4 linked regions of the Elephas maximus indicus genome follow. The protein of the gene in region 2 binds, or shares a complex with, the protein of the main gene of each other region. Links are inferred from orthologs where the notes say so. Each region holds a gene or a part of one and is shown on either strand. Other genes may lie near its edges. The genes, in order: CLTA, MYO6, GIPC2 and TOM1.

Evidence for each region.
Region 1: the proteins of MYO6 (region 2) and CLTA are in contact, whole or in part, in an NMR structure (PDB 6E5N), measured with the Homo sapiens proteins. The link is inferred for Elephas maximus indicus from reciprocal best matches to the Homo sapiens genes MYO6 and CLTA. Residues at the interface, in NP_001355794.1 of Homo sapiens: Met1053, Thr1054, Pro1055, Met1058, Ala1059, Met1062, Ser1087, Trp1089, Lys1090, Tyr1091, Glu1113, Arg1117, Leu1118, Val1120, Tyr1121, Trp1124, Asn1128; in NP_009027.1 of Homo sapiens: Glu47, Asn48, Glu50, Ala51, Phe52, Ile54, Leu55, Asp56, Gly57, Gly58, Ala59, Pro60, Gly61.
Region 3: the proteins of MYO6 (region 2) and GIPC2 are in contact, whole or in part, in a crystal structure (PDB 5V6H), measured with the Mus musculus proteins. The link is inferred for Elephas maximus indicus from reciprocal best matches to the Homo sapiens genes MYO6 and GIPC2. Residues at the interface, in NP_001034635.2 of Mus musculus: Ser1055, Lys1056, Trp1057, Lys1058, Tyr1059, Arg1084, Arg1085, Leu1086, Val1088, Tyr1089, Trp1092, Lys1093, Asn1096; in NP_058563.1 of Mus musculus: Glu255, Leu256, Tyr257, Met258, Gly259, Ile260, Asp262, Asp264, Leu265, Thr268, Thr289, Leu290, Asp292, Phe293, Ala294, Pro296.
Region 4: the proteins of MYO6 (region 2) and TOM1 are in contact, whole or in part, in a crystal structure (PDB 6J56), measured with the Homo sapiens proteins. The link is inferred for Elephas maximus indicus from reciprocal best matches to the Homo sapiens genes MYO6 and TOM1. Residues at the interface, in NP_001355794.1 of Homo sapiens: Ile1182, Phe1184, Trp1202, Gln1214, Glu1216, His1218, Asp1220, Lys1221, Pro1222, Ile1224, Leu1226, Glu1234, Met1235, Cys1236, Leu1238, Glu1242, Thr1243, Gly1244, Leu1245, Arg1247; in NP_005479.1 of Homo sapiens: Ser440, Glu441, Phe443, Phe446, Leu447, Arg450, Ala451, Ala453, Ala454, Asp455, Leu457, Pro458, Asn459, Leu460, Ser461.

Annotation. Positions count from the first base shown.
Region 1 is NC_064827.1:45,041,211-45,048,588, forward strand, and holds the start of CLTA (clathrin light chain A), read left to right. Parts: upstream 1-4,178; 5' UTR 4,179-4,309; coding exon 4,310-4,526; intron 4,527-7,378. UniProt on the Homo sapiens protein: Clathrin is the major protein of the polyhedral coat of coated pits and vesicles.
Region 2 is NC_064819.1:139,186,666-139,194,927, reverse strand, and holds the start of MYO6 (unconventional myosin-VI), read right to left. Parts: upstream 3,387-8,262; 5' UTR 3,149-3,386; intron 1-3,148. UniProt on the Homo sapiens protein: Myosins are actin-based motor molecules with ATPase activity. Unconventional myosins serve in intracellular movements. Myosin 6 is a reverse-direction motor protein that moves towards the minus-end of actin filaments.
Region 3 is NC_064821.1:126,020,805-126,028,175, reverse strand, and holds the start of GIPC2 (PDZ domain-containing protein GIPC2), read right to left. Parts: upstream 3,364-7,371; 5' UTR 2,849-3,363; coding exon 2,612-2,848; intron 1-2,611.
Region 4 is NC_064822.1:178,742,712-178,750,949, forward strand, and holds the start of TOM1 (target of Myb1 membrane trafficking protein), read left to right. Parts: upstream 1-5,001; 5' UTR 5,002-5,125; coding exon 5,126-5,177; intron 5,178-8,238.

The sequences.
Region 1 (7,378 bases), on a different chromosome or scaffold from region 2:
GAGCCTCACATGGTCTCTCCTTCCTGTGGATTTATCTCTCTACATCTGTACTCCCCTTTTTAAGACACTATTCTGAAAGGATTAGGTTTAGGACCCATCCTATTCCACTATGACGCTGTTACATAAAAGAAAAACTATTTCTGAACAGGTCAAATTCACAGGGGTTAGAACTTCAATCTATCTTTCTGGGGCACACAATTAATTTATAAAGGTCGTTATCTACTGAGCTTCCCCTTGGACAATTCTAAACCTCTTCCCTTTCTTCCACTGGTTCTCACTTTCCTAAAGCAATTGAGTCCCTCAGGGGTGTCTGTCCTCACTCTTGCCTCTAAAATTCTCTCTCCCCAGTCTATTGTTTCCACCACCTCTTCCTTATTATATAACTTCAACTTCTCCCTATCCTCACCTACAAATGTACTCAACTGTCTCCTACCTTAACAAACGTCCCCGTGGTGTTATAGCCCTAAATATAGCTCTTCCTTCTTTCCTTGCTGCCAACATTTCTAATAAAGTCTTCTATATTTACATTTACCCTCATCTCTTATTCTATATCAGACAGAATTCTTTTATTTACAAGTTATCAAAACACAACTGTCTTAAAGGAGAAAAAAAAGTTTATTTGTTCACAGAACTTGAAAGTCCAAAAGTAGGTATCTCACTTCAAGAATGTCTGAATCCAGGTGCTCAATGATGCAAGCAGGAAGCCGTCTGTCTTCATCTCTGCTTTCCTCTACGTTGGCTTCACTCAGTCTGGCTCTCTTCTCTTGATGGAGAGACGATCACCAGAAGATCCAAGTTTACATTTTACCAGCTCATCAGTCATAACAAAAGAGCCCTGCTTTCCCAAAGACTTTAGAACAGTCCTGGAATTGAGTCTCATGGACTTGGCTTGACTCACTTATCCATTCCTGAACAAGTCATTTGGCCAGGAGATGGAATGTTCTAATTTGCCAGGCCTGGGCCACATGGTCCAGGTCAACTCCATCCAATGGATAAGTGGTTCCCCAAAGGAAAATCAGGGTGCTGATTTCAGAAAAAAAGGAAAACTGGATGGTAGAAGGGCAAAATCAACAGCTGTCCACTACACTTTTCACTCCTCAATCCAGTGCAACATGATTTCTGCTTCCAGAACCCTCTGATGTCTTTCTCACCAAGGTCACCAGTCATCTTGATGGCCAACAGCATCTGCTCAGCCCTTGCTCTTCTTCACCTTTCTGCCAATTGCTTCTTTCTCCTGCAAACTCTTTTTCCTTGACTTCTATGACCCAGGTCTATACTGACTTCCCTTCAATTTCTCTAATCTACCCCTCTGTCCTTCACAAACAGCCGTCCTCTAAGATTCAGTCTTCAGTCCTCTCCAGTCTCCATTTGTAGTCTCACTGCTCTCCTGAGCACACCTCTTGCTACTTCCTGGTCATCTCCCTTTATATCTTCTTCTGTCTCCTATCATTCACTTGAGCTTCTGAGAGCCCTCAAACCAGTGGCCCTAGCAATATCACATACTCATGGCCTCAGTGATCTTTTCCCCCTGCTTCTCACCCTGCCCCTTCCTCCAGTCATACACCAAGTCGGCTGCTTCTCTGTAGGGACTCATTCTCCCATTAATGCTCCCCATTCAGTTACATACCACTGCCCCATCCAGACCTTCATCATGTCACTGCAGGACTTCTCTGCTCATTGATCCTGCACAAAGGGATCAGATTAACCTTCTAAGCAGCACATTCACCATGTCATTCATCTCTGAAATCTTCTGCAGTTCCCTACTGTGAATAAGGCTCCTAAGCCTGGACTGCATTCAGAGCCCCAGTAGGTGGCTTCAGGTTTACCTTAAATCATTCCTCTTCTTGAGTCCTTCAGGCCCAGCTACACCAGTTTATTCACTGTGATCTAAACATGCCCTTTTCTCACCACTGAACGTTTGCACAATAGTAATCTCGTTTGTTGTTGGCTGTTGTTGAGTTGGCCCCTAACTCCTGGAGACCCCATACATAACAGAACAAAATGCTGCCCAGGCCTGTGCCATCCCCATGATGGGTTGTAGATCAGATCATTGTGATCCAGAGGGTTTTCACTGCTTTCGGAAGTAGATCACCAAGCCTTTCTTGCTAGAACAACTTAGTCTGGAAGCTCCACTGAAACCTGTTCAGCATACAGCAACACCAAAGCCTCCACTGACAGATAGGTGGTGGCTGCCCATGAGGTACATGGCTAGGAATCAAACACAGGTCTCCATCAGGAAAAGCAAGGATCCTACCACTGAACCACCACTGCCCCCTACAGTAATCTTGTTGTTAGCTGCCACTTAGTCAATTCCAACTCATGGCAACCCCACCTGTGTAGAATAAAACTGCTCCATAGGGTTTTTAAAGCTGTGGCCTTTCAGAAGCAGAATGCGAGCCCTGCCTTCTGAGGCACACCTGGGTGGTTTTAAACCTCCAACCTTCTGACTACTAGTCAAGCACTTAACTGTTTGCACCCCCCAGGGATTCCACAGTAATTTTAGACCCTCACTATTAACTCTTCTTTCTAATCTTACCTATATTTCAAAACTAAGCTGCAAGCTACCTCTTCTGTGACGTCATTCCTGAACGTACCAGCTGATTTCCCCAATTTTGAGTAAATAAATATTTGTTGATTTGACATGAGGAGATCTGATACCTCCTCTAGTAATGGAATCTCAGGATAGCTTCCCCAGTCATGCACTTGGTGTAGAAAGAATGTGTCTCAGTCCCTCAGCTACCATTACAGTGAGCAACCAAAGGCTGTCTCCCTTGGACCTACTCACGGTAGTCCCTGGCCCCATCCTCCTCACAGGGTAGTTTCAAAAAAAAAAAAAATTTTTTTTTTTTTTATGAAAGTAGATACTACATACATTGTTGTTAATTTATGCGAGAAGAAGAAGAAGATTGAGTCTGTTGCAGGCCCTAACATTTTAAGTTTCTTAAATGTTCTTCTTCAAAATCTCCTATGTTACATACTTAGAGTGATTTAAAAAGAAAATACACACTTTAAGCAAAATAATTATCCTTTGTCATCAAATATACATTTTTTTTTTTTTAAGCCACCTTCTTGTCCCTTGCTGACTACTTCTGGAGATATCTGTGACCTTTGGTTGTGTTTTTAGTTTGTTTCTGGTTCTGTTCTTACAGTGGTGGTGATGATGGAAATAGGGCCTTCCATTATACATTGCATAATATCCCTCATTATCATGAACATGATTAACTGGAATCACTCTATTATAATTTCTATGATGCAGACAACATTAACTAGCCATGTTTAACAAGTTTCTGATTTAAAAGAAATACTGAAGAAACTTTTTTTTTTTTTTAAGGGAAGTTTCTGCTGTTCTTAGTTGGGAAAGGTGTGCACATATAAGGGGTGTGGCTGGTACCATCACAGAAGTGCTGTGGTCCCCAGGAGACCTGGGTCTCCTCTTGGCCACTGATTTCCCGTGACTGAATCCCTCACACACCGGGATCTCAGTTTCCTATGAACGAGGTGATCCCTAGTGGAATTTCTAGTTCTAAAAACTTCCTTATAGCTCTGAAAAGACGTACTGTCCGCAAAAGTGCTTTTAAAAGGCGATACATTCGTCTTTTTATAAAAATGTTTATAGGGAGAAAAGTTGGAACGGATTTGAATCTATTACATTTATGTCAATCGACTCTAAAAGAGAAAAAAATCCAGACTGGATGAATGGGTTAACAAGTTTTTTAAATAATACATATAGCCAGTCCATATCCACAAACGGAGTCTTCCCTATAGGGAAGGAGGGAGGCAAGTGCATGGATTCTTGCCCTTTTACAAATGAGGAAACCGAGGCTCAGTATAACTGGCTTGCCTCTTCTGTAACCCGCCAATCACCACAGCCGCAACTTTACCTCACCTCCTGGTTCAGGACAAGAATTCCCTTCAGAGGTGGCGATCCCTGATCATTCCGGCTCCCGAGGGCGGGGCAGATACCGTGGCTTTAGTCCAGCGCCTCTCCCGCCTCCCCTCGGACCGCGGAGCTCACCTCCCTCTTGGGAGAAGCCCGAGTCACGAGTTTTCTTCCGAGGCCCGCCTCTCCTCCTGCTGATTGGGTAGTTCTTGAACGATTTCTACCTTCTCATTGGTTTCTCTCTTTTCGGCTCTCCACGCGCCCTAGACCAGCCGGATATAGAGGCAGGGTTTCCGCTTCCGCCTTCTCCCTCCTTCCGCTTGTGCTCCGAGCGTACTCGCCAGCAAAGCGACCGCTTCCTGGGGAGGTGTCGGTGGGTCGGTTGGTGTGTCTTCCAACGTCAGTGTCCGTGCCGTTGAACTGTCCGCCATGGCTGAGATGGATCCGTTTGGCGCCCCCGCCGGCGCCCCAGGCGGCCCCGCGCTGGGGAATGGTGTGGCCGGCACCGGCGAAGAAGACCCGGCCGCGGCCTTCTTGGCGCAGCAAGAGAGTGAGATTGCGGGCATCGAGAACGACGAGGCCTTCGCCATCCTGGACGGCGGCGCCCTCGGGCCCCAGCCGCACGGCGAGCCGCCGGGGGGTCCGGGTGAGATTGCGGGCGTGCTGGGGCGGTGGGACTCGTTTGGAAATTCAGGACATAGGGGATCCGAGAGCTTCTGTGTAACTCCTGTTCCTTGCTGAACCAGGAGGTTAGGGAGGAGTGGAAAGAGGAAACGAGACCCCGGCCCAGTCATACGGAAACCTAGGCTGGGGAAGCCTACCCGGCTCTTTGACTGCTGTCGGGCGCGGGCGGAGCGAGAAACCAAAGAAGATAGAATGGGTGGTACTTAAGATGGGAAGCCCGTTCAGTTGAGCAAGTTTTTGTTAAGCACTTGCTATGTCTTGAACCTGGCCTCTGAAACAGTCGCTTTAGCGCATTTTGGCCAGGATTACAGGCAAGTCTACTCCAGCAGGGAACCAGTTACGGGGGGGCAGAAAAAGTAAGAGTAGTAATTTGTTTTTGAGATATTTAAACAAACAAACAAAAACTATGAAATTCAGCATGTAAGCGCTTAAGGTGTACAGCACGTAGGCTATGGGAAGGAAGGAGGAGTGAATGGGGAGCTCAAGAAGGAAGTCTAGCCCTGGAGAAGGAAACTTGAACCAAAGACGTCCAGGAGTTTAGCATTTGTTGAGCTATGTTAGGAGGACTTCTGGAGCTCTTCTTCCTCTGGGAACACCTTTGGTAGCCGGGTGTGGCGAAACCTAAGATTAGCCTGGTTCAGTTAGGGAGGGAAGAAGAGGTGAACAGAGAATGCAGTTTGGCTTTTTTTTCCAGCCAAACTAAAGCAAAAAAAGGAGGGGGGTGCAGGGATGGTGATAGGATGCTGATTTGATCTTTGAATGCTTTGCTTGTGTGTGATGCTTAGAATTGTACAGGTGGGAGGAAAGGTGAGTGGAAGAGACCTATTCAGTGGTGTAGGGAGTTCAGCCAGAAGAAACGAGACATGACTTGTCATTTACTTAAAAAACTTTCAGTTAAAGGGGAATAAGACATTTGTGGGGCAAATAAGGGTATCTGTACCTAAACTCAAACTGTTAAGGGACCTGGCAGGTAACATAAATGAGATAAGCAGGCTGAATGTGAAACATTAAGGAAGTTTGGAGACTCAGACTTCAGTGCAGTAGAGAGTAGGGCTCTGCTTAAAAACATTCAGGCTCAAAAATCTCAAATTATTATGCCAGCCAAGCAGAACATCTGAGGGAGAATGGGGGACTGCTAGTTTGCAGCTTCCAAGTTCTCTATACTATACTGTGCTGCCTCCTAAGCAAATCATTCCCCCAAGAAGAGCCTTGGGAATCAAAAGTGGTACCATAAAGAATGGGGGTCAAGGGATATTTTCCCAAAAGCAAGCCTTTAGTATTCTCTAGAATTGGCCAGACCATGATCATGACCATGAATATATAATTTATATAGACAGGTTGGACTGAACCGGACTGTGACTGAGAGATGAAGTCGGCTTTAAGTAGTTAAGTAGTATTTGCATGGGATGGTCTTTAACATTTGCCTGAGAATCATAAAATTTACTTTTTTGATCCTTGATTTATTTCTCATCATTTAATAAAAGAGAAAACTGAGTCCTTGAGAGAAGTGACTGAAGAAAAAAGGCAGGTTAATAGCTGAGCCCCAAGTCATTCCACCCTGACTGTACACACATTCTTCTACAGTTGTTTTAGCAGGCGTGTGGTGGGATGAGAGATTGTCATTTCTTTTTTTTAATAATTTTTATTGTGTTTTAAGTGAATGTTTACAAATCAAAGATTGTCATTTCTGAAAGGCAGTTGTGGCTGCTCTGGGTAGGACAGAGTCAAGAGAAGCAGGGCCCCATGAACTAGGGGTCATTACTGCATACCTAGTTAGGAGGTTGTCCTGACTCAAGGACAGTGTTGCCTACTGTTGTATCCTTAATACCTAGCGGGTATCTGGTACATAGTTGGTGCTTACTGTTTGTCAAAGGAGTGGGTAAAAAGTGTCAGGTCCAACAGTCTTGTATAGGACTGGCAGATCTTAGTGTGATGGTAAAGAGAGAATAGAGTTAAACACTTAGGTCCCTCCTGCATCAAGCCTTCAGCAAAGGGAAGGAAGGAATGATTGCTGACTTAGTTTCTAGGAAGGACTTTCTTAGTGAACTAAGCATTTAGTGACTGAAAGCCAGATTCCTGACAGTGTGGTTGAGGTTGGTAATAGTGCAGTGGTCAGCACTTCCTTTGGGGATTAGATAACTAGTTGGACACACTCTCTTTTTTAAAGAGGCACTCTAGTATAGTGGTTAAGATTGTGGGCTGTTGTGTAGGCTGCTTGAATGTTTAGCTTTGTGGTGTCAGGCAAGTTACATAACTGCTAACGCCACTCTGCCACAATTTTCTCTGTAAAAGGTGCATAGCATATGCCACGTAGGGTTGTTATGATTACATGAGAGAGTACCTGTAAAGTGCTTACATGGAGTACCTGGTATATACTCCAGTGAATTCCAGCTACTCTTATTCCTTGGAGGTGGGGCAGAAAGGGATTTTGAGGCCTATAGGTTTTGGGATGTAATGAGGAAATTGAGAGATTTTAGGTGGGAGCTCTGTTTCTGATGTGTTGTACAGGATACCCAGACTGTAGCAGTGATTGAGGAGAGAGGAGGATATCCACACTAACCCCAGCCTTGGGGAAAACTCCTCCCATGGTTTTAAACCAAAACCCCAACCCGTTGCTGTCTAGCTAATTCCAACTCATAACAGCCCTATAATACAGAGTAGAACTGCCCCATAGAGTTCCAAGGAGCGCCTGGTGGATTTGTACTGCCAACCTTTTGGTTAGCAGCTGTAGCACTTAACCACTACACGACCAGTGTTTCCCCCATGAGGATGGAGGCAGGTAAAACCAGAGCAGTTAGACCTGAGCCTTGGATG
Region 2 (8,262 bases):
TACTTCACCCTAATTAGGTCTTGATTACCTATACCAAAAAAACAAAAGCAGATATGTCACGGATCATCTATTAATAATTTATGTTAAGCCTCTGGATGATGGTTTTATATTTACAATTGAATACAGGTGCTCTGAGGTACAAAATTCCTAAAGCTTCAAACCAAATAATGAAACTACCCTGTAAAAATCTAGCCACCCAACTTACCCTTTCTACCCTTTTCTGTTCATTTTCCCAATCCATTCTATTATTAAAATATGATTTCTAGTTTGTTACGAGAGATCAAATTTATGTGTTCATTTTTGTCATTTATGTTTATTACAGTTCAAGGGCCATTCCTAAAATAAAAAGAGCCATAAAAGAGGATCTGTCCTAAAAGCACAGGTGACACTTTAATCATAATCTAAAAACAAGCTTTTTCCCTGGGATTACCTAATTAATTATATAATATTTAAAAGACAGCTACTGCATTTAGGGACAAAAATCTATCTCATTTGAGGAAAATTTTTTAAAAGTTTTATCCTAACCATGAACATCATACTACTCATTTTAGCTAAGATGAAAACCAGTATTAGGTTACAGTCTAATTCTAGTTCCCATAAAGACCATTAAAATAAAAGCGCCACAATATGTATCACATTCTGGGACTATATCAAAAATAAGGCAACATGATATCACTGTTCAAGGATGTCAATTTGAGAATGAAAAAACAGACCTGGAATTCTATATTAGTTCCAGAACTACACTCATGACCTATCACATCTGCTCTGGGTGCCTTCTTCAAACCTCTAGTTACATTCTTCAATACAATACCAGTTGTGCAGGTGTATCTAACCATCTACCAAGTGAGCTGAAATCAGGGCAAACTGGCCTGGTAGAGGGAACAAAAGTTTCCGGGTCAGAAGACTCAGGTAGGAATCCAGACTTTGCCCCTCAAGGTATATACAACCTTGAGCAAGTATTTAACTCTCTGGCCCCAAGTTTCCTACTACCTGAAAGAAGCGCAAGACCACTAACCTTGAAAATTATTTTGAAGGTCAAGTGCTCCTGTTAGTGTTTTAATTGCAGCAGATGCCTAATAGGGTAACATTCTTACAATACTAATGGACTGGTTCACAAATTATTATGAAGTGTCTCATGATGGGCATCCGAATTAGACTGAGATTTATCAAAGTCGTAATTCTTTTTGCAATCTTTTAAAATAAGGTTTTTTTAATATATAGAAATTAAAATTTTACAGAGTTTAGAAATACCTTTTTAAAACTGACATTTTACACAACAAAGATGGAGCCTCAATTATCAACAGTCACTTAAACTTTTTTTTTTTTAATGTTTGGGGTACTAATATTTATTCAAATATCCCATGGCCAAAACCTTTAAAACTTTCTAAAGAAAGCTGTATTTTAGAGCCCAGATACAGCCCAGTTGTCTAAACAATGGGCTACATGATACACCACAGACTCCAGACAAAGTCACAACAGGATGAGAAAAGAGCCTCCAGCCTCTCTCAGATTTCCTGCCCACTGTTATTTTAAAACTTGATCACACAAACATAAACAGGGAAAAAATCCATTTCAGATAAGCCTCTTGGGTTATGATGTAACTACTGTGGAAAGATCGTATATGAACTCTTTTTAATACCTTGCATTAATTTACTTTAAATATTGCCAATAGCTCAGTACATTTTTCTTACTCATGTTTCCAGGACTAACGAAGAATATACAGTACATGTACATTCTACACACTTTTACATTACATATCATGTTCATAGTTTTTAATCATGACCTATTTTTTTAAGTCTTTTGTCACTTCTGCCACTGCCTTTTAAAATCAGTGTTTGAAAATAAAAATATAACTAAAAAAGTGGGGAAAACAAATAGCATGTCAAACAGATCATACAAATGTAACAACGAATTTGCATAATACTAAAATGACTTCTGTTTACCACTCTGCATGTGATTCCTGTGCAACCGAACATACTCAAAATAAGCTGGATATTTAAAAGTCAATGAGCTACTTTGAAGGGCTGTATTGTTTCAAGCTCTGATTACAGCTCACTTCGTATCATTTGTGGTACTTTTAAAACTAATGATTAAAAAACAACAAGGTAATTCCACTAAACAATTTCCGGTTGGAAAATCATAACCCCAGACGTCTATTAGTTCAGTTAATTTGTACAGAAATGCTATTTTGCTGCCAACCTTTGTACCCTGACAACTACCAACCCAAGTTCAAGATCCACATTTTATGGTGTAAGGATGGTTTCTGCTAAACCTTAAGAATGTTAATTTTTAAAACTCTCAAGCACTGACTATATTTAGCGATACTGCAGCTACACCACCAGAGCACAACAGAGACCAAACTTGTACTCAGAATGTGTAATAATCTATTAAGTTCGTGCTGTGGTCCTAGCTCCCAACTAAGATCTGCAGATTCGATTTTAAGCATTCCTCCACCACATATTTTATGCCAGATAAAACGTAGGGTGTTTCCCGAAACTGTATAAACGTATTTCTGACACGGATGTTCTAGTAATAACACTAACAAGTTATTCTCTACTTAAAATTAAAATTCCAGACTTAGAACATTTTAATCATTTTAAGGAGTTTTGGAAATTAATAAATACACACATGAATTAACATACTTAAGGTACTGGACAATGTGCGATTGAAAATACTGCTTTCGAGAGTCCCAAACGATTCTCCAAATGATTAAACTAGTAATGATAACAGTTGATCCTCGCATCCCAGAACAAAATGCACGCTTCTGCAGTGAATTTTAAGCTTGTTTACAAAAGAGAAAATAAAACTATTATGGAGCGTCCAAGTCAGAACCGGACACCTGAGTGTTCTATCTCTACCTGGGAACAGGGAAGAAACACAAAAGTACCTCGGTGATGATAAACCTATAAAAGGAGAGTCTCATTGTCTATCTGTGGAAAAGAGAACCACCTACGACACTAACGCGAGCCGTCGCCGCTTGGGCACGCTCGCCGCCGGGTCCCACCATCACCTGTGTCGCCCACCCGCGCGTCCTTGGGAAACAAGCCGTCCGCCCCGGGACGGCTGGAGAAGGCCCCGAAGCAGGGCCAGAACAGGAAAAACGAGGCCCAAGCGGTGCAGCCCGCAGCGGGGACTCGGGGACACTCACCTGTGCGGGCGCAGAGGCAAGCGCGCGGCGACGGGGTTACCTGTCGCCGGTGAGGCTAGAGGACGCGGGTGCGAGTGATGAGGACGAGGGAGGAGGACGAAGACGCGTACTAGCACAGGGACCAGGTGGCGGCGGCCAGGGCCGGGATCCTGCTCGCTTCCTGCTCGGACAGGTCCCGGGTCCGTCTCCGCCCGCCGGCCGGCGCCCCGCGGAGTTCCCGGCCCCGCCGCCGCGCACGTCACGGCTACGGAGCGCCCGAGGGGGCGGGGGCGCGGCGGGCCGGGGCGGGCAAACGGGGCCGCGCTCCGGGAGGGGCGCTCGGCGCTGGGGGTCGCCCCGCCCCTCGGTCCGCCTCTCCTGGCGGCGACGCGGAGCTTCGAGGGTCACGGTGGGGGCGCCGCGGGGTCGGACTGCCCCTGGCCGAGCTGAAAGTCCCTGTTCCTCCCCTGGGAAACGGCTTCCTTCGCAATGGTTCTAGTTTCCAGCCCCAGGAAAGCAAGTTCTTTCCAGGCTCGATGGCGTGACTATATAGTCTGGCAACAGCAAGAATTAGCGCAAAGCGGGAAAAAGTTGTGCGGAAAAGAAGGGAGGACCCCAGGGCTGTGGATGCGTGCGGCTTCGCTGAGCTGGGTTGCCCTACGAAGGCAGTAGCCTTCAGTAGCAACAAACTTGCTATTCTGCTTTGGGGGAAGGGAGCCTGAGATGGAAATTTTTGACTTCCCCTAACATTCCCCTCCTGCTGTTATTTATTAGAGCCCCTATCATCTTTTACTGTTTTTATAAGGGACATATCTGTGGATTATATTTTAAAATTAAATATGAAGTAGCTATGCAAATTTGAATTCTGTAATGAAAACGTAAACCGTCTGTACGACGAGTGGAAGCTGCTTTTACGAGAATAAAATGGTAATTGACTATAATGCTGAATGTCTCAAATGAAAAAAAAAAGTACAGATTTTCCCCCCATCATTTCCAATTAGCAACTTTGAAATTGAAGAAAATCTAGAAGATTCAGAAGAGGAGAGAAGTTTCAGATATTCGGATGTTCTACAGTTTTCTCAATGGAGAAACTACAATTAAAACAATAAAATTTTAAGAATTAAATAGGGAAGTAGGAAAGAGGAAGTGAAACCAAGAAAGGAAATAATTTGCAGCAATCTTAGAAATTTAATTCCAGATTGCCAGAAAGTAAATCTTGATATAAAAACTCAAGACTTATAAATGAATTGAAAAAATAATGAGGAGTAGGTGAGGAGGAAGAAGGTAGCATGCTGTGCTTCTTTCACTTCTTTGACCTCATTTTGGACTTAAGATTAAAAAACCTTGGGAAACCAATAGAAGCAGACACATTACAGTTTTTCATGAGTAACAACTTCTGTGACTTGCTCTCTCTTGTCCTCCACTTCTAAACCATTATGGAGTCCCTTTGCTTCTAGCTCTACCTATATCTCAAAAAAAAAAAAAAACTGCTGTGGTCAGCCAATTCTGACTCATAACTGCCCCACAGGGTTTCCAAGGAGTGGCTAAGTGGATTTGAACTGTCGACCTTTTGGTTAAGAGTTAAGAGCACCCGAGCTGTTAACCACTTCACCATCAGGGCTCCTCTATATCTTCAACACAACATCCAATTCCTCTTTATAGCCACCATCATTATCTTGTTTCAGGCCAGGATCGTCTCAGGTCTTGTGTACTGCCTTAGCCACCTAACCAGCTTCCCAGACTATAGCCTCATTCCCTTCTAATTCAGTCTCCACAATGCCACCAGATTTATCTTTTATAAAATACAAATCTTATTATGTGCTTCTCTATTTAAGCTCCTATGATGGTGCTTTGGAGACCTGGTGGCACAATGGTTAAGAGCTCAGCTGCTGACCAAAAAGCAAGCAGTTCAAATTTACCAGCTGCTCCTTGGAATTTCTATGGGGTAGTCCTACTTTGTCCTACAATGGTGCTTCACAACCCATAGTATAAAGTCCATACCCCTTAAAGTTACATAAGATCCTTCTTGATTTAGTTCACCAGTCACAAACTATTTTATTTGGCCAACACAGTAGGGATTTCTTTCTTTCTTTTTATTTTAATTGAATTTGAATGCCTTTTCGTTGGTCATGCAGCCCCCTGGTTCATCGCACGCCTGGTGAAGCTGTTCTACAGCAGCCTTCATACAATGTTTCCTGCCTGTCTTTGGAATCGTTTGCATTTTGCGCCACTGTCATATCTTTACTTAACTGTGTAATCTCATTTCTGCCCACACTGCCTTCCTCCATTTCTTGTACTTTACACTCCAGCCATTGTAAAGTGCTTGTCTGTCCAAAAACAGACAGCAATGCTATTTATCACATTGTAGCAGTGCTAGGCTAAATGGAATTAATCCTTCAGAGCAGAATTTATTTGTCCCCTCTAAAAAGCTTTCCCTAAATCCCTTTATACCAAAACCTAGGTACAAGTCTCTGTTCCTTCCTATTGCTCTTTTAACACCCATTGCACATGTCTCTCTCAACATTTATTTCAGTATTGCAGCTTCAGTTGGCATATAAGTCACCCCCACCTGGACTGAAAGCTACTTGAAGGCAGGATAGTGAACTTCACAAACACACTGACTTTGACATGGTCAACCAAAAAAAAAAAAAAAACCCTGTTGCTGTGGAGTCAATTTTAACTTATGGGGACCCCATGTGTTACAGAGTAGAACTGCTCCATTGGGTTTTCTTGGCTGTAATCTTTACAGAAGCAGCTAGCCAGGCTTCCACGGTCCCACTGGGTGGGTTCAACCTACCAACCTTTAGGTTAATTATAGAAAGCAAACCATTTGCACCATCCGGGGACCTTTTCACATGATAGGCAATCATTAAACAGTGTCTACCATTATTATTATTACTATTGAGTGAATGAGACTGATGGATGAACAAATGGCAAGAGAGTTGACAATTCTAGGAAATTCCATATATACCTGTATTTATGCATATGCTTTTTGCACTGTGTCTTATTTGTTGCCAAAATTCATATCATAATTTATTTTCTATTTATATTTGTAATTGTCTCATCTTTGCTCTTGCCCATTAAATATTTGTAGGGCTCTTCCCCAGATTCTGCCCCAGAGATTTCTAAGCTGAGACTCATCAATCCAGTATCATAAACTTTGAAGGGCTCCATGAACCCCTGACACTATATGTGAAATTTTGTGGTTTTGTTCCTTCATTTTTATAGGAAACCGTGACATGGGTGTTTAAATTGTCTTTACTCTTTGCTTAACTGATAATCATCCACTTTAACAGGTCCAACTGCATCTGTGTCACCAACTCCTAAAATAAAGCAGACTAAATAACCCACAGGTACATGACAGAAAATCATTATCTTTCCCTTGCCAACTCCTTCAAGCAATTCCCTTGCAGACAGAGCCTATTATGATTATGGCATTACCAGTCACCAGTGTCCAGAAGTTGTGGTTTTTAAGTTACCCAACACTCCTTCCTCTTCTTTACTTCTAATTTCGTAGTCATGAATTCTAGTTCATTCTACTACATCATAAATTATTTCCAAGTTGAGGCCTTATTCTCCATCTTCCCTTAGTACGGGCCTTCACCAGTTTTTTGCCTTTGTCTCTGCTCACTCAAATTCATTCTCTGTACCGCCCTCCCCAAATCCAGTTATGTCACTCCTTTACCAAATCATGGTACCTTTCAGATAAATTTAAACTCATTCATATGGAATGATAGAACCCTTCACAGTACTGAACCTAAAGCCATAAAAAAAAAAAAAAAAAAGCCATAGGAATTCAAATATCCCATGCCCTTTCCTGACTATTCCTCCTACATAGACTTTTTTCCCCCTCCCGCCTAATCTAAGGAATTCATTCCCCTCAGTCTTAAAAACTCCATTCAACTATTATTTTCTCTGTTCTGACTCTTTCACAGAATTCTTTTTTCTTTACCTTATTTTCCAGTGCACCACTTCATTTCTATATTGTACCACTTATTAAGGAGTTTTATAATTGTGAGTGTTGCTGTTAGGTGCCGTTGAGTTGGTTCCAACTCATAGCAATCCTATATACAACAGAAGGAAATATGGCCCAGTCCTGCTCCACCTCACACTCACCGTTACGCTTGAGCCCATTGTTGCAGCCACTGTGACAATCTATCTCGTTGAGGGTCTTCCTCTTTTTCACTGACCTTCTACTTTATGAAGCATGATATCCTTCTCCAGGGACTGATCCCTCCTGATAACATGTCCAAAGTATGTGAGACGTCGTCTTATCATCCTTGCTTCTAAGGTGCATTCTGGTTGTACTTCTTCCAAGACAGATTTGTTCATTCTTTTGGCAGTCCATGGTATATTCAATATTCTTCACCAATACCACAATTCAAAGGTGTCAACTCATCCTTGGTCTTCCTTATTCGCTGTCCAGCTTTCACATGCATATGAGGCGATTGAAAATACCATGGCTTGAGTTAGGCACACCTTAGTCTTCAAGGTGATATCTTTGCTTGTCAACACGTTAAAGAGGTCCTTTGTAGCAGATTTACCCAATACAGTGAGTCTTTTGGTTTGACTGCAGCTTGCATGGGTGTTGATTGTGAATCCAAGTAAAATGAAATCCTTGACAGCTTCAGTATTTTCTCTGTTAATCATGATATTGCTTATTGGTCCACTTGTGAGGATTTTTGTTTTATGTTGAAGTGTAATTCATACTGAAGGCTGTAGTCTGTGATTTTCTTCAGTAAGTGCTTCAAGTTCTCTTCACCTTCAGCAAGCAAGGTTGTGTTATCTGCATATTAAAAAAAGTTGTTAATTAGTTTTCCTCCAATCCTGATGCTGGGTTCTTCTTCATATATTCCAGCTTCTCAGACTATTTGCTCGGCATACAGATAGAATAAGTATGGTGAAGGGATACAACCCTGACACACACCTTTACTGACTTTAAACCAGACGTTATTCCCTTGCTCTGTTTGAATGACTGCCTCTTGATATATGTATAGGTTTCCCATAAGCACAATTAAGTGTTCAGGAATCCCCACTCTTTGCAATGTTATCCATAATTTGTTATGATCCACACAGTTAAATGCCTTTTCATTGTCGATAAAACACAGGTAAACATCGTTCTGGTATTCTCTACT
Region 3 (7,371 bases), on a different chromosome or scaffold from region 2:
TCATTAGCTTCCTCCTTCAGGGACCATGGAATAGTTGTAATCCACGATTGTCAGTATCTCAAGAGCACCTTTTTGAAGCAATAAACATTTCTGTGTTTGAGTCTGAGGCTTTAATTGAAAACACCATTGTCTAAGCAAAAAGAATTTTGAAGTTTTTCCAGATTTGTATAAGGAATTTGAATGCTTATAGCCATCTCTCTAGAGAAAAGGCAGATCCATTTATGAGTTAACTGTGTATTCAATCCTACTAATGAGAGGGGAAAAAACTTTGTTTTGACCCCACTGATATCTCAAAAATTATTTACACCACTATGCACTTTGCTGGGGGAATAAGATGGGAAATGAGACCTCACTGATGTGTATTTTATTTTAGTAAATTATTGCTGTTTCAGAATTAACTACTTAGTTACTTATGACATACTGTACTATGATGACCAAAACTTTATCCTGGATATACTTATTAACTCTTTTTAATCCACATGGAAAACTTGCGTTAATATTGGTTTTATACATAAACATACACATATTATATACAATAAAAATTACTTATGAGCTTTGATATAGCACATCAAAATACATTGTTTATTATCTTGGAATTTTATCTTGCAAGTCAGTGCACTGAAAGCTGAAAATATTGAACACAGCTTCCGAGCTATTGCTCAGAGACTCTGGAAAACTTGGGAAACAATACAGATTCATAGATTTTGGAGTCAGAAAAAAAAAAAAACCCAGGTTTGAATCCAGGCTCTGCCACTTACTACAGGTAATTCGGGGGGGGCGGATGCTCTGAACCTGAAAGCCTCAGTTTTCTCTCTGTAAAACAGGGATATTAGACTGAGAGAAGTTAAGAAGCTTGTCTGAAGCAAAACAGGTAGTGTCATGGATTGAATTGCATCCCCCCAAAATATCTGTCAACTTAGCTAGGCCATGATTCTTAGTATTGTGTACTGTCCACCATTTTATGTGATTTTCCTATATGTTGTAAATCCTATCAGTATGATGTAATAGCAGCAGTTATATGGATGAAGTCTACAAGAGTAGGTGGTGTCTTAAACCAATGTCTTTTGAAATATAAAAGAGAAAAGCGAGCAGAGAGATGTGGGGACCTCATACTACCAAGAAAGCAGTGCCGGGAGCAGAGAACGTCCTTTGGACCTGAAGTTCCTGTGCTGAGATGCTCCCAGACCAAGGAAAGACTGAAGACAAGGACCTTCCTCCAGAGTGGACAGAGAAAGCCTTCCCCTGGAGCTGAAGCCCTGAGTTGGGACTTTTAGCCTACTGGACTGTGAGAGAATAAACTTCTCTTCGTTAAAGCCATCCACTTGTGGTATTTCTGTTATAGCAGGGCTAGATGACTAAGACAGGTACTAAGTGGTAAAGCCTAGATTCTCAAGTTTATTAGTCACCAAGCCCTGCGGCTAGTTCCCTAATGACGACCTGCCCACCTACCTACCCTAGAGAAGATCAAAAGGAAATTTTTTCAGTGAAAGTTTTTTGAGATTGCAAGGTCCTGTATAGGGTCGCTATGAGTCGGAATCAACTCCACTGTAACAAACGTAATGTATTATTTTTACTTACTACTATATATCAATATAAGTAATTCGTAAAATGGGTTTGTGCTTTGCCCTTTAGTGCCTGAGAACCCTGAAAGAACAACTATTACACTTCTAGCTCTCTTTCATCTCTTCTTGGAATTTTGCCTTGACCTCAATTTCACTTGAACAAACCTGATAAACAACATTAAAGAACAGAAATCTAAATGCTGCTATGTGCCACTCACTGAAAGGAGGGTTACTGCATGCCTGGCAGGCCAGGGCAATACAATCTTGTGCTTTTCCTAGAAATAAAAGACAAAACATTTTCTTGGGCTAACTTCTCACACATAAATTTGCAGTTCACTTGGGTACACGTAAAGTGGTCACATAAACGTCCACACTGAGGAAGCATAAACGTGCTTTCGAGATCACGCCCATTGCCAAGCACTAACGCATGCGTTCAATCTAATTAAAGAAAATTTCTGTCCCTTTTCAAGGGTATGATGTAAAATTTAGAGCTGATTTCCCCCATGAGAATTTTGTTAATTAGTCTCAGGTAGTTAAGTATATCAACTATCCACCCTTGGAATAATAAACTTCTTGGAAATAACCACCAAAGGGTTTCTGGTGTCGATACCGGAAATGGTAGATGAGGAGCAAAGTGGGCCTCGGTTTGATATCATCTGGAAGGCACTTTGATTTTTCCCTCTTACTCTGGGGCGATGCCAAGCGCAACCCCCTTACTCCTGCGGAAGAAACAGGAGAGTAAAGTCCAGATTGGGGAGGGCGTTGATTGCTCACAACCTGCCCGGCTGAATCCCGGCCTCAGAGAGCAAACTCAGACGCAAGAGGAAGAAAGGTCGCCCCTGGTTTCCCAGAGGCCGGATCTCCGAGCATGAGGGTGTGACTCGCCCTCTCTTCCCACTGCCCCCTGGGAAGTTCTCGACCGACTCCACCCGCATCCGATTTCGGGCTCCGGGAGGCACCGCCCAAACTCCCCAGGCCACAACCGAAGCCGACGCGGCGTGTCCGACAGGCAGGGAGAGGGAGCGGAGGCTGCACACCCGGCCCCTTACCTCCGACGGCGAAATCTCAAAGGCGCCCGCGATCTTGGCATAGAGCTCCTGGATGCTGGAGAAACCCTCAACTCTGCCTGTGGCGCTGCCGTGCGCCAGCTGCGTGTGGAAAACCAGCCTGCGTACGGGAACCTGGTCCGGGAGACTCCCGCCGCCCGCCCCCGGCTGCTCGCTCTCCACCAGCTGGGCAGTCTCCTTGGCTTTGGCTTTCTTCTTTCTCAGCAGCCCCAGGGGCATCTTGCCGGATTGAAGGAGCGGGATCACCTGTGCTGCGACCGCCTTCTCCTCCGCCCGGCGCTACGGACTTTGCGCTCCTGGCCTGGGGCCTCCGCGCAGGTAAAGGCCGCCGCCCGGCCAATGGCAGAGGCGCTTCCGCCTGGCAGCGCCCGTTCGGGGCTCCTTCCTCCACCCGGAGGACCCAGAGCAGCCGTCCGCCCTCCCTCGGAAAAGAAGGAAAGGTGGGCACAGTTCCGCACCTCCCAGCTTCTTTCTTTAAAAAATGTTTCCATTTCCGTAAGGGCCTCGGGATGCTGAAGCTACAAAACACACGTCTCAGAAAACAAACAAGCACTTCTGGTGCTTTTCATAAATTCATGAGGCACGCATGTTTCGGCCGGAGACCTTCCTGTCTGTACAGTACGTCTAGGCCAATGGGGATAGGGATTTAAGTAGAAGTCAGCCTTCATCTGCTGTCTCTGCGCCTTACACCCTGTAGGGCAGAATTGGAGGGAAAAGTCACATAATCTTGAGATTGCTGCCACATTAACTTTATGGTGAGCACCCTCAGCTAGGCCTTCAACACCTCTCAGTAATCCTTCTCCCCGCCCCCTCGCAGCTTTTTCTCCTAAACCGTTCCGCAGTCTCCCAGAGCCCTTTGCCCCACCTCCGCCCTTCTCTGTCTCCGGAGAACCCTGACTCTATGGAAAAGATGGAGGCCATTATGTGTGAATTGTGAGTCCCTTAATACCCAACTCCTTGTCCGTAACTCCAAGGAGCCCTGGTGGAACAGTGGTTAAAGCGATAGACTGCTAAGTTCTGTGATTCAAAACCACCAGAGGATCCGGGGAAGAACGATGTGGCAGTCCGCGTCCACAGAGATTTATAGCCTTGGAAACCCTATGGGGTCACTATGAGTCGGAATCGAGTCCGCGGCAGTGAGTTTGGTTTGTTTTTGGTGTCTGTAACTCCTTCCAGCTCCTTTCCCCAAACTCCCAAGAAATCTCTTTTCTTTTGGCCTTTGGTATGATCTCCTTCGCCCCTCTTCAGGGATCTCTATTTTTAAACTACTTGTTGACTCTTCCTCTTTTCCACATGATGCCACTGGGGGTCCACAAATTCAAACATCTTTGACTCGAGGTGGTTCCCTCTAGCTACATTTCCTCAACAAAGCAAAACAGTCTCCAATTGCTGTAGTTCCTAGCTTCCCTTTACTCTTAGACTCACTGTGATCAGAAGTTGCTCTGATTATGGTCAGCACTTTTTAATCACCAAATAAATAATTTTTTCAGTCCGTATTTTACTTGGCATTTAACAACATCTATCTCTGTGGACCATTTCGTTCTTCTTAAACTTTGTCTCTTTTGGCTTCCTTTCCTCCCACCCCACCCACCTTGCCAACTGGTTCTCCAGAAATTGTGTTCCCCAAGGCTATTTTTCCTTGCCTCCTCCTTTTTCTGTCTGCTGTCCTTGAATGATCACATTTACTGTCTCGGATTCAACAAATGTTGACTACCAAATTTATATCTCCGGTTCAGTCCACTAGAAAGGCAATGTACAAAGCAGAGCTCATCATTGCCCCTAAACATTTTGGGGCGGGGGGGGCAGGGGGGAGAACTCCTGCTTTCAGTAAATAGGACTACCATGCACTCAATGGCCCAGACCACACACCTGTGAATCATCATACCGTGCTTCCTTTTCCTTCACCTCTCACATCAGTTCAGTCCTGAAAAATCTTTATCAAATTAAGGTTAGCAGCTATACTTAGGAGAGAAGTCTGAATTCTTAGGATAACTCTTTAAACGTTGTGTTTTATATTTCTATGACTTAAAAAATATAAATACATACATATATATAAACATTCTGGAACATCTGGGTGACTACCTGATGATGGAATACTGCCTCAGGATCTCAGGACTAGAAATTGCTATTGTGTTTATCATTGCTATGGCACCAAATACTTTTATTGTCTTGGGTTAATGAAGGCCAGATAACTTCACAATGAATTGTATGAATAAAGAACTCAAAGAAGTTTGAAGAGAAGTAAAAGAATAAATCATAGCATCATGGCAGGGCTACCACTAGCATATAGGGCACCTTTATGCAAATTAGGAAAAAGCACCCGCTCAAAGTAAATGATGTAAAAACAGGTGTACCAATCTGGGTAGGTGCAGCATCTTGCTAGGCTGCATGGCTTGGTAAGTTTCTCGAGCCAGACTTAACTCCCACTTATCCCCTGAGATAGGCACCTTTGGCAGTGTACAGACTGCCTAGCACCCTAGATAGAGTCAAATGCAAAAGAAGCTGAGTCATGATTATCTGTCAGTACCAGTTTCACGTACAAGAGGCAATTTAGATTCAGCTAAACGTCATTTGGAGTCCCTGGGTGGTACAAACAGTTAACACCCTCAGCTACTAACCAAAAGGTTGGAAGTTCCAGTCCACCCAGAGGCACCTTAGAAGAAAGACCTGGCAATCTACTTCCAGAAAATCATCTGTTGAAAACCCTGCAGTTCTACTCTGACACACATGAGGTTGCCATGAATCAGAATGGACTTGACAGCAACTAGTGTCAGCAGCTGGTGGTGATGGAAACATCATCTGCTGTATTAAAATAATGTTCATTTGAATTGTATTCACTTTAGTTTTATTGAATTTTTTTGTTTGTTTTATGATTGTAGAAGACCTTTTGTACCTAGATTTGTTTGTACATATTTAATAAACCTTTCGAGGAAAATAATTTGTAAACCCTAAGAGCCTGTGTGTTGTAATGAGTTAATTGCTTAATATGGCCCTTTTAGCCACCAGGTCTTTGTGACTCACACACAGTGATTAAGTGGGACTATGCAAATAAGGCATATGGGACCTGTGATGGTTGGGGTTATGTGTCAACTTGGTTTGGCCATGATTCCCAGTATTGTGTTGTTGTCCTCCATTTTATGTGTTGTGGATTCTGACCTCTGCATGTTGATGAGGCAGAACTGGTATAGGGTGTGTCTTGGGTTGCAGCCTTGCAGGAGGGTGTGACTAAAGCCCCACCCTTATGAAAGTTACTCAGTTCCCTGGAGTGTGGCCTGCATCTAAGATACATATGTGTGTCCTGGCCAGGTTCTCTCTGCATCTGGATCCTTTGTCTGATTCATGATCAGTTGATATCTCCAGAGGCCTGCTGTCCCACCTGCCGATTTGATTTTGAGGTTCACCGGCCCACACAGCCACTTGGGCTGGGGGTACAGGGGAGTGGTGCTATCATGTGACCTGATTCACCATCTTCCGCAGCCTTGTGAGCCAGCAGCCTGTAGTCTGAACTGCTGGTTTGGGTTTGTCAGCCCCTGCAGCCACATGGTTTAGGAGAAGCCTACACCTGGCCCACGAATTTAGGACTTGCAGCCTTCACAACCACATGAGCCATTTCCTTCATACAGTTTGTGAGTTCTGCGAGGCGTTGCAGCAAATCAGGGAACCCAGAGATGGGAGGAAGAGTACTGAGGGGAAAGGGACTAGATGATGTTAGTGATAAAGGAGCTGTACAGCAGCTTGGAAGAGTTAGACGTTTGGGATATCTTTGACCTCTGCCTCATAGAAACCAGCTTTGTGCTGATCCTTATAAAACAAATTATTCGTTTAGCCTGGAAGGATTATTTTTTCCTTTAGAGGGAGTTCATGACTGCTGTTTCTATTTCAGGACCATCTCTTGAATCTCCTGCCCTCCATCCCCACTGTTACTGCCTTAGCATACATCCTTTTCACCTACTGGCACTTTGCCTCTCCTCTGGCACCCTACAAGCCATCATCCCATCTGCCAGACCAATGTCGTGCTGTCATCCCTTCGATAATGTTCAAATACTGGCTTCAGATATCCCTCCACCTTTAAAAGAGACCTTTTGACAATTTAGGGAAGGATTCAGGCTTTCTCCAGAGCACTAAAAGAGGAGCAAATCCCAAAGGCCAGTGTGGTGGTAGCACTAACAACAGTACCATGCCAAGGGGAAGATAAGGCTTATGAAACAAGTCAGTGATCTGGGGTCAAGAGACTTATCTCCACCAAGAGACTTTTCACTAAAGGGAAATGGCAACTTTTCTTATAATTCTGTAAAGGGATGCAATAGAAGAAGAATATGACTTGGCTATTCTGATGTAGGGAAGAGCTTTCAGAGATCAGTTTTTACTAGTAAAACAGGGGCCAGGATGCAGGAAGGAGTGAATGTTGCAAAAGTGAAAGTAGCAAGAATTAATGACAGTACAGATGAGACAAATTGTTTAGAGACAGATAAAAAAAATTGAAAATACTGCAGTAAAGCCACAGATAATTCTAGATGGAGCTAAGCATTTAAGGAGAAGGAAAAGAGGGGGGAAAAAAGGTCACTATGAGTTGGCATAGACTGGACAGCAACAGGTTTATGGGTAGGTAACTAGCAAAATAAGTTCTGTTGGAAGTTAAAGGATGGAGGTGAATATCTAGAGTACTAGGTGCCAATAAACTTTCTCAACATAAAAGTTTTCAAACTACGGCAAAGTTGAAAGCATTTTACAGTGAACACCCG
Region 4 (8,238 bases), on a different chromosome or scaffold from region 2:
ATTTAACTCTAAAATCTCTTAGATTTTAATTTATCCTGTAAATTTCTGTATATATAATTTAATAACAAAAGTTTCCACCAGCAGCAGCGTGTGGAAGATACAGATCTGTCATTTGTTCCTTCCTTTCTTCCTTTGGTCTGCTCTGAAAACTCCAAATCATCTCCATTTTAAGGCATTCTGCCTCAAAAAGGAATCATTATGTCGGAATTCTAATTCTTTATAAAGACCTTCATGGCCTTCAATAATGTCGAGAAAGTGAAATAAAAAAAGAATGTTACCATCCCCAGCCACCCTTATTTCCAAAGAACCAGACTTTTGCTTCCCAGATGGAGAGAAGATACTTGAGCACTTCAGAGTTCTTTTTAAATTTGGTGTGAGATTATCTGCCAAAACCCAGCTCTGAGGTAATTGTGTTTTCTTCCCTTAGCCTAGATGGAGCACTGTGGCATCAAAACAAGTCCTTGGGGACAGTGCAGCTAGTCTGCATCCTATTTAATTCCTTCCCCTTCCCCCGCGCCGTGTTGTCACGAGGCTGTTTTTAAAGGTATTCTGGTTGCTGAATGCCTTTCTCAGCTCAGAGCAGTTTTGAGATTTAACCTGGGAAGCAAAGGAGGAATCAGGAACATTTGGGAACCAAAATCAAGAAGAGCAGAAACCTTGGCTTGATTTCTTGGGCTAGTCCCTCATCCCACACCTCATCTGCACCCATGGAAGCTTCCTGTTTGACAGAGGGTATTCAAGGAGAGGCCTTGAAGACATGGGTTAGTACAGAAAGAAATCAATCCTACCATTGCCATTTGTATACTTTCTGGAAATCCTGATGAGGACCTGCTTTTTGTTTGTTTGTTTTCTTTTGAAACCCAACCCTATTGTATTTGTATTTAAAATTTGTACACATTTGTATAATAATCTGTACCTTGTGGTATTTGGTACTATTAGAGAAAAAACTTTGGATTCAGACCTCCTTGCAGTTTTTATATCATTGTTTTATTTTTGTTTTTTAAATACCAGTGGTTTGATCCAAAGCCCATTACAGTTGTATAAAAAAATTAAATTTTGTACTTACATTATTAAAAATCACATTTTTAATATTTGTAGTCCAGTCTCAGCTATCTTTTCCCTGCTGCTATCTAAAGTTACCTACAAACTCATAAGACCTCCATTTTTCATGTGATATACTACCATAATTTTCTTTAAAAAGGACATCAGCCCAGACAAGAGGTCAAGTTTCTAATCTGACTCATATTCCTAACATACACCTTGCTCCCTTTGTAATTTTTGAGTTATGGAGCTTCTTGTTTTCTCTTCCTGCAAATTGCAGATCCAGTGAATCTGAGAGCTATAGCTCTATTCATTGGCAAATGAAACTATGTCTGTTACAGTGTTAACCTATATCAAGAAAATATCAGTCTGTGTAAGAGTTGACTGCGTCCGAATCGTGTGTTAAATATGATGTATTTCATGCCGTTTCAGCACCATCTTGACTTAGTGATGTTGAATAAATCACTTAATCTTTATAAACTTCCAAATTCCTTCCATAAAAGAGTTTAATGTCACCTCCCTGTCTCCAAGCCTGCAGCCAGCCAGCGTGACATGAATGTTGAGTAACACTATGAACATAAAGCATATGGAGATTTGAGCTTTCAAGATAAAATTTTCCATGCAAACACAAGGTGTTAAAAGACATAGTGAAATCATATGATTGATTAAAAGGCTGTCTTATGGAGAGGCAGCAAGAAGGAGACCACCATGTAGCTGAATGACTTATAGAGAGAGTGATCTGCATACTTTATCCCATTTAATCCTTCTGAAAGCCCTACAAGGTGCATTATCCCCCTTTACAGATGGGGAAACACATGCAGAAAGTACTTTTCCTAAGTGCACGCAGCCAGTAGACATCATAGCCAAAATCGGAACATTGGTACTAGCTGACCCCAAAGCCTAGGCTCCTACCCTAAGCTGACACTTTCAAATTTAAGTTGTGTATGTAATTCATTAGGATCCTTCTCAATTATCTATAGTCCTAAGCAAACTTGGTTAGAAAAGTGCTTAAAGAATATAATAGATCACAATACATCTATGTAGTATGTCAGTCTTAAGGGATATAACCATTCTTACCCTCAGGAAGGTATATGATATTAATATTGCTAATATACCTAAAAGGAAAAATTAAATTGAGGCACTTTTTATTAAATGAGTTTTAGTTTTAATCAGTTTTGTACTACACCTCATGTTTGCCATTCACGTTCCTATCTATGGTACTGTGTTGACAAAATCCACATACTTCCATTTCTGTTTTAACAGCTGTCTTAGGCTGGGGTTCCCTAGAGAAGCGAAACCAGTGAAGTGTGTATATACATAAAGAGAGAAAAAAAATTTTATTTCAAGGAAATGGCTCACGTAATTGTAGAAGCCGGCTAAGTCCCAAGTCCATGTATGGGTCAGGCATCAGGCTAGAGGCTTCTCCTGACTCTCATAGCTGCAGAGGCTGAAGAACCCAAGATAGGCAGGTGTGGTGGTTAAGGTTGTGTGTAAACTTGGCTGGGCCATGATTCTCGGTGGTTTGGCAGTTACATAATGACGTACTTATCTTCCATTTTGTGGTATAATGTAATCACCTCCATGATGTGATCTGATGTGATCAGCCAATCAGTTGTAAATTAGTTTCCTCAACCGTGTGGCCTGCATACATTATATATTGGCATTCTGGCAAAGCTCACTGGCTTTAGTTCACTCTGGATCCTGCATCTGGCTCCTCATCTGACCTCCAGTTCTTGGGACTTGAGCCAGCAGCCTGCCTTATTGCCTGTAGGGCTTGGGATTTGTCGGCCTCTTGAGTTCATCAGCCCCTGCAGTTACATGAATCAGGAGAAGCCTTCAGTCTGATGCCTGTCACATGGACTTGGGACTTGCTACCCTCTACAACCACATGAGCCATTTCCTTGGGATAAGTCTCTCTCATTCTACATCCATCCATATTCCATCCGTAGTTTCACATCACCTCCCTCTCTCCAAGCCTGTGTGCGTGTGTGTGTGTGTGTGTGTGTGTGTGTGTGTATGTATACACTTCACTGGTTTGGAAACCCTGGTGGCATAGTGGTTAAGAGCCACAGCTGCTAACCAAAAGGTCTGCATTTAAAATCTACCAGGCACTCCTTGGAAACTCTATGGGGCAGTTCTGCCCTGTCCCATTGGGTCGCTATGAGTCAGAATCAACTCAACGGCAATGGGTTTGGTTTGGGTTTGGTTCACTAGTTTTGTTTCTCTGGAGAACCCAGCCTAAGACATCAGGCAGGCTGCTGGCTCAAGTCCCAAGAACCAGAGGTCAGGTGATTACAAGCCAGATACAGGATCCAGAGCAGGCAAGCAAGCTTTGCCAGAACATCCATATATATACTGGATGCAGGCTACACCCCTGAGGAAACTCCCCTTATAGCTAATTGGCTGGTCATATCAGATCACATCATGGAGGATGACTATGTCAATACATAATTGCCAAATTACATTATTACATAACTGCCAAACCACTGAGAATCATGGCCCAGCCAAGTTGACACACAACCTTAACCATCACAATTCCCCATTGCCATTAAGTCGATTCCAACTCATAGCAACCCTATAGGACAGAGTAGAACTGCCCCATAGGAATGGCTGGTGGATTCAAACTGCTGACCTTTTGGTTAGCAGCCAAGCTCTTAATCACTGCACTACCAGGGCTCCACCATCACAATATCTGTATAATATTGCGTTTGTATGGAGTTAATGGAATTCCACTGCCTGCTTTGGGACATGGGGGTTGTTTCTGATTTTAAATTTTGGAACCAAAGTATCTTGATTTTTGTCTAAAAGTGTTTGAATATAAAAGATAATATTTATGTACTATGTCAGTTTTAAGGGACATGTTTACCTCAGAAAGGTATTTAATATTAACATGGCTGTTTTATTCTTGGCAGTAAAGCCTAGGTTCTTCTGCCCACGATCACTCTAAACTAGAGTGAAGCAAGACCTTCTGGCAGATGACCCAACATGGGGATGTGAAAGGTGGTTAATGGAAGAACCCCCAAAAATTTCATGCTAAATATTTTCCATACAACCACGTAATACTGCTTAAATGAAGAAAGGCATGTAAGGTACCAGGCCCGAAGACCATCTTACATGTACTCCCCTCCTTATACAATTGAGAGAGGCCTTTTAAGATTATTGACTAGGAGTCCAGTTTTGTACTTCAGGGACCCTGTTAACTCTCTGAAATTGTGTCTGTCTTTTCCTCAGAAAGGCTCATGCTCATGGCTTATTCAAACTCTCAAGGGAGCCTGTGACCCAAAAAAAAAGCTAAGAATCCTTGATCTAACTCCAGCATCCAGGGCACAAGATAGAACCTTGGTATTTGGATCGCACAGTGAATTAATGGCAGAGATAGGCCCCAGGCTCTGCTCTTGACTAGATGAGTGTGCTTTTGGCCACCCTGTGCTCTAGCCTGTCCCCAGCTGCAAGTCACTGAGTTGGCTCTCAGTCCCAGGGGGTCACAAACCCCTGGCCTTTGCCTCTCCTATTTGAGGTAAGTGAATATGGCCTGCAAGCAGGGTGCATCTTGGAGCACGGACACCTCTACATCAAATAGAGCCCTATCAGGGCAGAGAAAGCCAGAGAGGCTGTCAATCCCAGGGCTTAGTGTGGGGTCACGGGGCTAAGCGCTAGGACACTAGGACCTGTAGTCTGAGCCTGCTGTGCAACCTTAAGTCATTCCCCAGGCCTGAAACCCAGTTTTCCAAATGTGTCAAGTGAGATCGTTAGACCAAGGTCCCCAAAACCCTTTTTTAAAAAAGTTTGAGGGCATGGCTCAGAAAGGCCCACGCTTCCTGGGCCCCCAGCCCTCCGTGGTGTGTGACATCATGCGTGACGTCACGCTGACGCCGGATAAGTCGCAGTGCGGTCATCGCTCTCCGCCTCCACGCGCCTGACCCTCGCACGTCAGGGGCGGGGCCTGTGGCCGCGCTCCGGGTTCCCTCCGCGCCGCCCCACCGGCTCCTCCTCGCGAGCCGTTTGGCGCGTCACGTGACAGGTCGGCGGCGCCGGCGGTTGCTGTCAGCTGAGTCCTGTGTTGGTGGCAGCGGCAGTCGCGGCGATGGACTTTCTGCTGGGGAACCCGTTCAGCTCTCCGGTGGGACAGCGCATCGGTGAGTCCCCGGAGCCTCGCACAGTCCTGTCCCAGTGCTCCGCGCCCGGGCCCGCTCCCCACCCGGGGTGCCTCCAGGTCCCCAGTCACTGACGGGAGCGAAGGCTGGGTGGAGGAGGCTGGCGTGTCTCTCATCGGCCTGGTTCCGCCCAGTCCCCCGCCCCCTTGATTGACAAGGCCTTGGTCCATTAGGGAACCTCGACTTGTGATGGATGTTTATTGCAGCCAATCGGCAAGGAGAGAGGGCGGGCCCAGGCCCCCGCCGCTCAGCCAATGTGCGTCGGCTGGGGGGTCCCGAACCCAGGTAGAAAGTTTTCGGGGTTAAAGGGACTGCGTGGTTTTGCGACTGTTTCCCTCGTCGCTTCCCTAGAACGGGTGCTGCCCGGGCTCTTGGCGTCTCCTCCCTGGCTCGCCGGGCTCTCCGGACACGGAAGCCTGAGAAGGGCTAGAAGCCTATTCTCCCAAGACTGGAGAGAGGAGGGTTCAGGGCCTGGGCAGGTGACTTGCGGGGACAGGGGACCCTCCCGGGCCTCCAGCACTGTGAGACTCAGAGCTTGGCACACTTCTAGGCGCTGTGAAGCCCACACGACCAGGAGGACAGGCCTGAAAGACCAAGGTTTCAGGACCTGTTTGCCATGGCTGCCTTTCCTTATAGAGTGGCAGAATCTTTGAGCTGAAAGTGAGCTTAGAAACCACCTGACTCTGCCTCCCTCATTCCTAAGTAGGTGGGACAGCTGAGGAGCTCTGGCTGGAGACCCACAGCTTAAATAGAGCGCAGGTCGCCTGACTCCTGGCTGCTTGTCCTTGGTTCTTGGCACCCTGGTGACTGGAGACTTAGCAGTTCTGTGACTGAGTTCTGTGCCGAGGTTTCCTTACTGGGATGGGAGGGTGGCACAAACGGTTAACTCTCGGCTGCAAAGCAAAAGGCCGGAAAGTAGCTTCGTTAGTAATTGTTAAGTACTTAGAAGAGTGCCTGGCACATGGCCAGTGCTATATAAGAAAAAGCTGTTATGTTTATTATTGTTACCGAGATACAACCACCAAGTGAGGATCAGAAATCCCGGGAAATCTTGCAGCTCCGCCTTCCTGCACACAGGCACCGGGAGGACCCGCGGCCATGGCCCCAACAGCTGTCATAGTCTGGCTGTACCCCTTTGTTGCGTGAAGAACCTTGGGGCAGTACTGTGAAATGATCTCTTCATCTTTTTAATGACTTTCACTCTTAAATCCAGACTCGGATAATTAGATCTTTCAGAAAGACATTCTTCCCATCCTTACTTTTTTGGAACCCAAACCTCACTAAAGTCAGTTGACCCAGCTCTGTGGCTGTTGGTGGCTTTTCTGAGGTTTTGTAATCATTTCTCTTCAGGGGTGGGGGTGGGTGTGGGGGTGGGGTGGTAGTCAAGGATTACACACCAAGAAGCTCCTGGACCACGGAGGAGAAGCTGCCCTCTAGAGGAACACCACCGTCCTGGCAGCACACACACCCTACAGTGAGTCATTGTTTTGGAGCCCAAAAGAGAAAACAGCTCTCCTCTCATCTTAGTTTCTCCAGCTACAGACACCACTCCTTTTGTCACATGCCAAAATTGAGACTTCCTACTTGGAAAAAAAAACTGTCCCTCAAAATCAACCGCTTATCCCTGAGGCTTTCTCGAAAAGCTCACCTGGGCTCTAGGCTTTAGCTGGTCCATGAAAACTTAGCTTCTCTTTTTACCCTGTAGGGTTGCCTGCCTCAGGCAAGAAATACTTCTGTCCAAAGAGAATGCTACTAAATCATAATACTTTAGAGCACGAACCAGTTGTACTGCTGGAAGAGTCTTTATACTGGGGGATCTTCTAACCCAGTGGTTCTCTTCAGAATGCCTAGGAGGGCTTGTTAAAGCTGTTGACTGGGGCCCACCTCCAGGGTTTCTGACTCTGTCGATCTACAGTGGAGCCCCCGAATGCATTTCTAACATAGTCCCCAGGTGATGCTGATGCTGCTGGTGCAGAGACCTCACGTCGAAAACCTCTTGTCGTAATCATTTAATGCTGCTATAACAGAAATACCACAAGTAGATGTCTTTAACAAAGAGAAATTTATTTTCTCACAGTCTAGTAGGCAAGAAGTCCAAATCCAGGGTGTCTGCGCCAGGGAAAGGCTTTCTCTCTCTGTCGGCCCTGGAGGAAGGTCCTTGTCATCAGTCTTCCCTTGGACTAGGAGCTTCTCTGTGCAGGAACCCTGGGTCCAAAGGACACGTTCTCCTCCTGGTGCTGCTTTCCTGGTGGTATGAGGTCCCCACTCTCTGCTTGCTTCCCTTTTGTCTCTTAAAAAGATAGAAGTTGGTGCAGGCCACGCTCCAGGGAAACTCTCTTTGCATTGGACCAGAGATGTGACCTTAGTAAGGGTGTTACCATCCCACCCTAATGCTCTTTGGCATAACAAAATGGAGGACAAGCACACAGTACTGGGAATCATGGCCCAACCAAGTTGACACATATTTTAGGAGGACACAATTCAATCCATGACACCTCTGTTCTAGCCCAGTCCCTTCATTTTACACATGAGGAGACTGAGGTTCAGAGAGGAGAAGGTGGAGACTATGACCCCAGTGAATTAGTAGTAGAGCTGGGATGAACCCTAGAGCCATCGAAATTTGAACCAAAACTGAAGAGACTCTAAAATGAGAGTTAAATGAAGAATACGTGCAGTTTGAGTTAATGCCCTCGAGATTACATATTCTTCATTTAGATAAAGAGGCAGAAGGTGATTGGACCTGTGATGACTGATGTTGGACCTAATATTAGCTGCTTGTATTTCATAGTATTTTCAGTCACCTCGTATGTACTCGAAAGCTGTACGGTGAATAAGGAAGACCGAAGAAGAATTGATGCCTTTGAATTATGGTGTTGGCAAAGAATATTGAATATACCATTGACTGCCAGAAGAATGAACAGATCTGTCTTGGAAGAAGTACAGAGTACAGCCAGAATATTTCCTAGAAGCAAGGATGGTGAGACTGTCTCACATACTTTGGGCACGTTATCAGGAGGCACCAGTCCCTGGAGAAGGACATCAT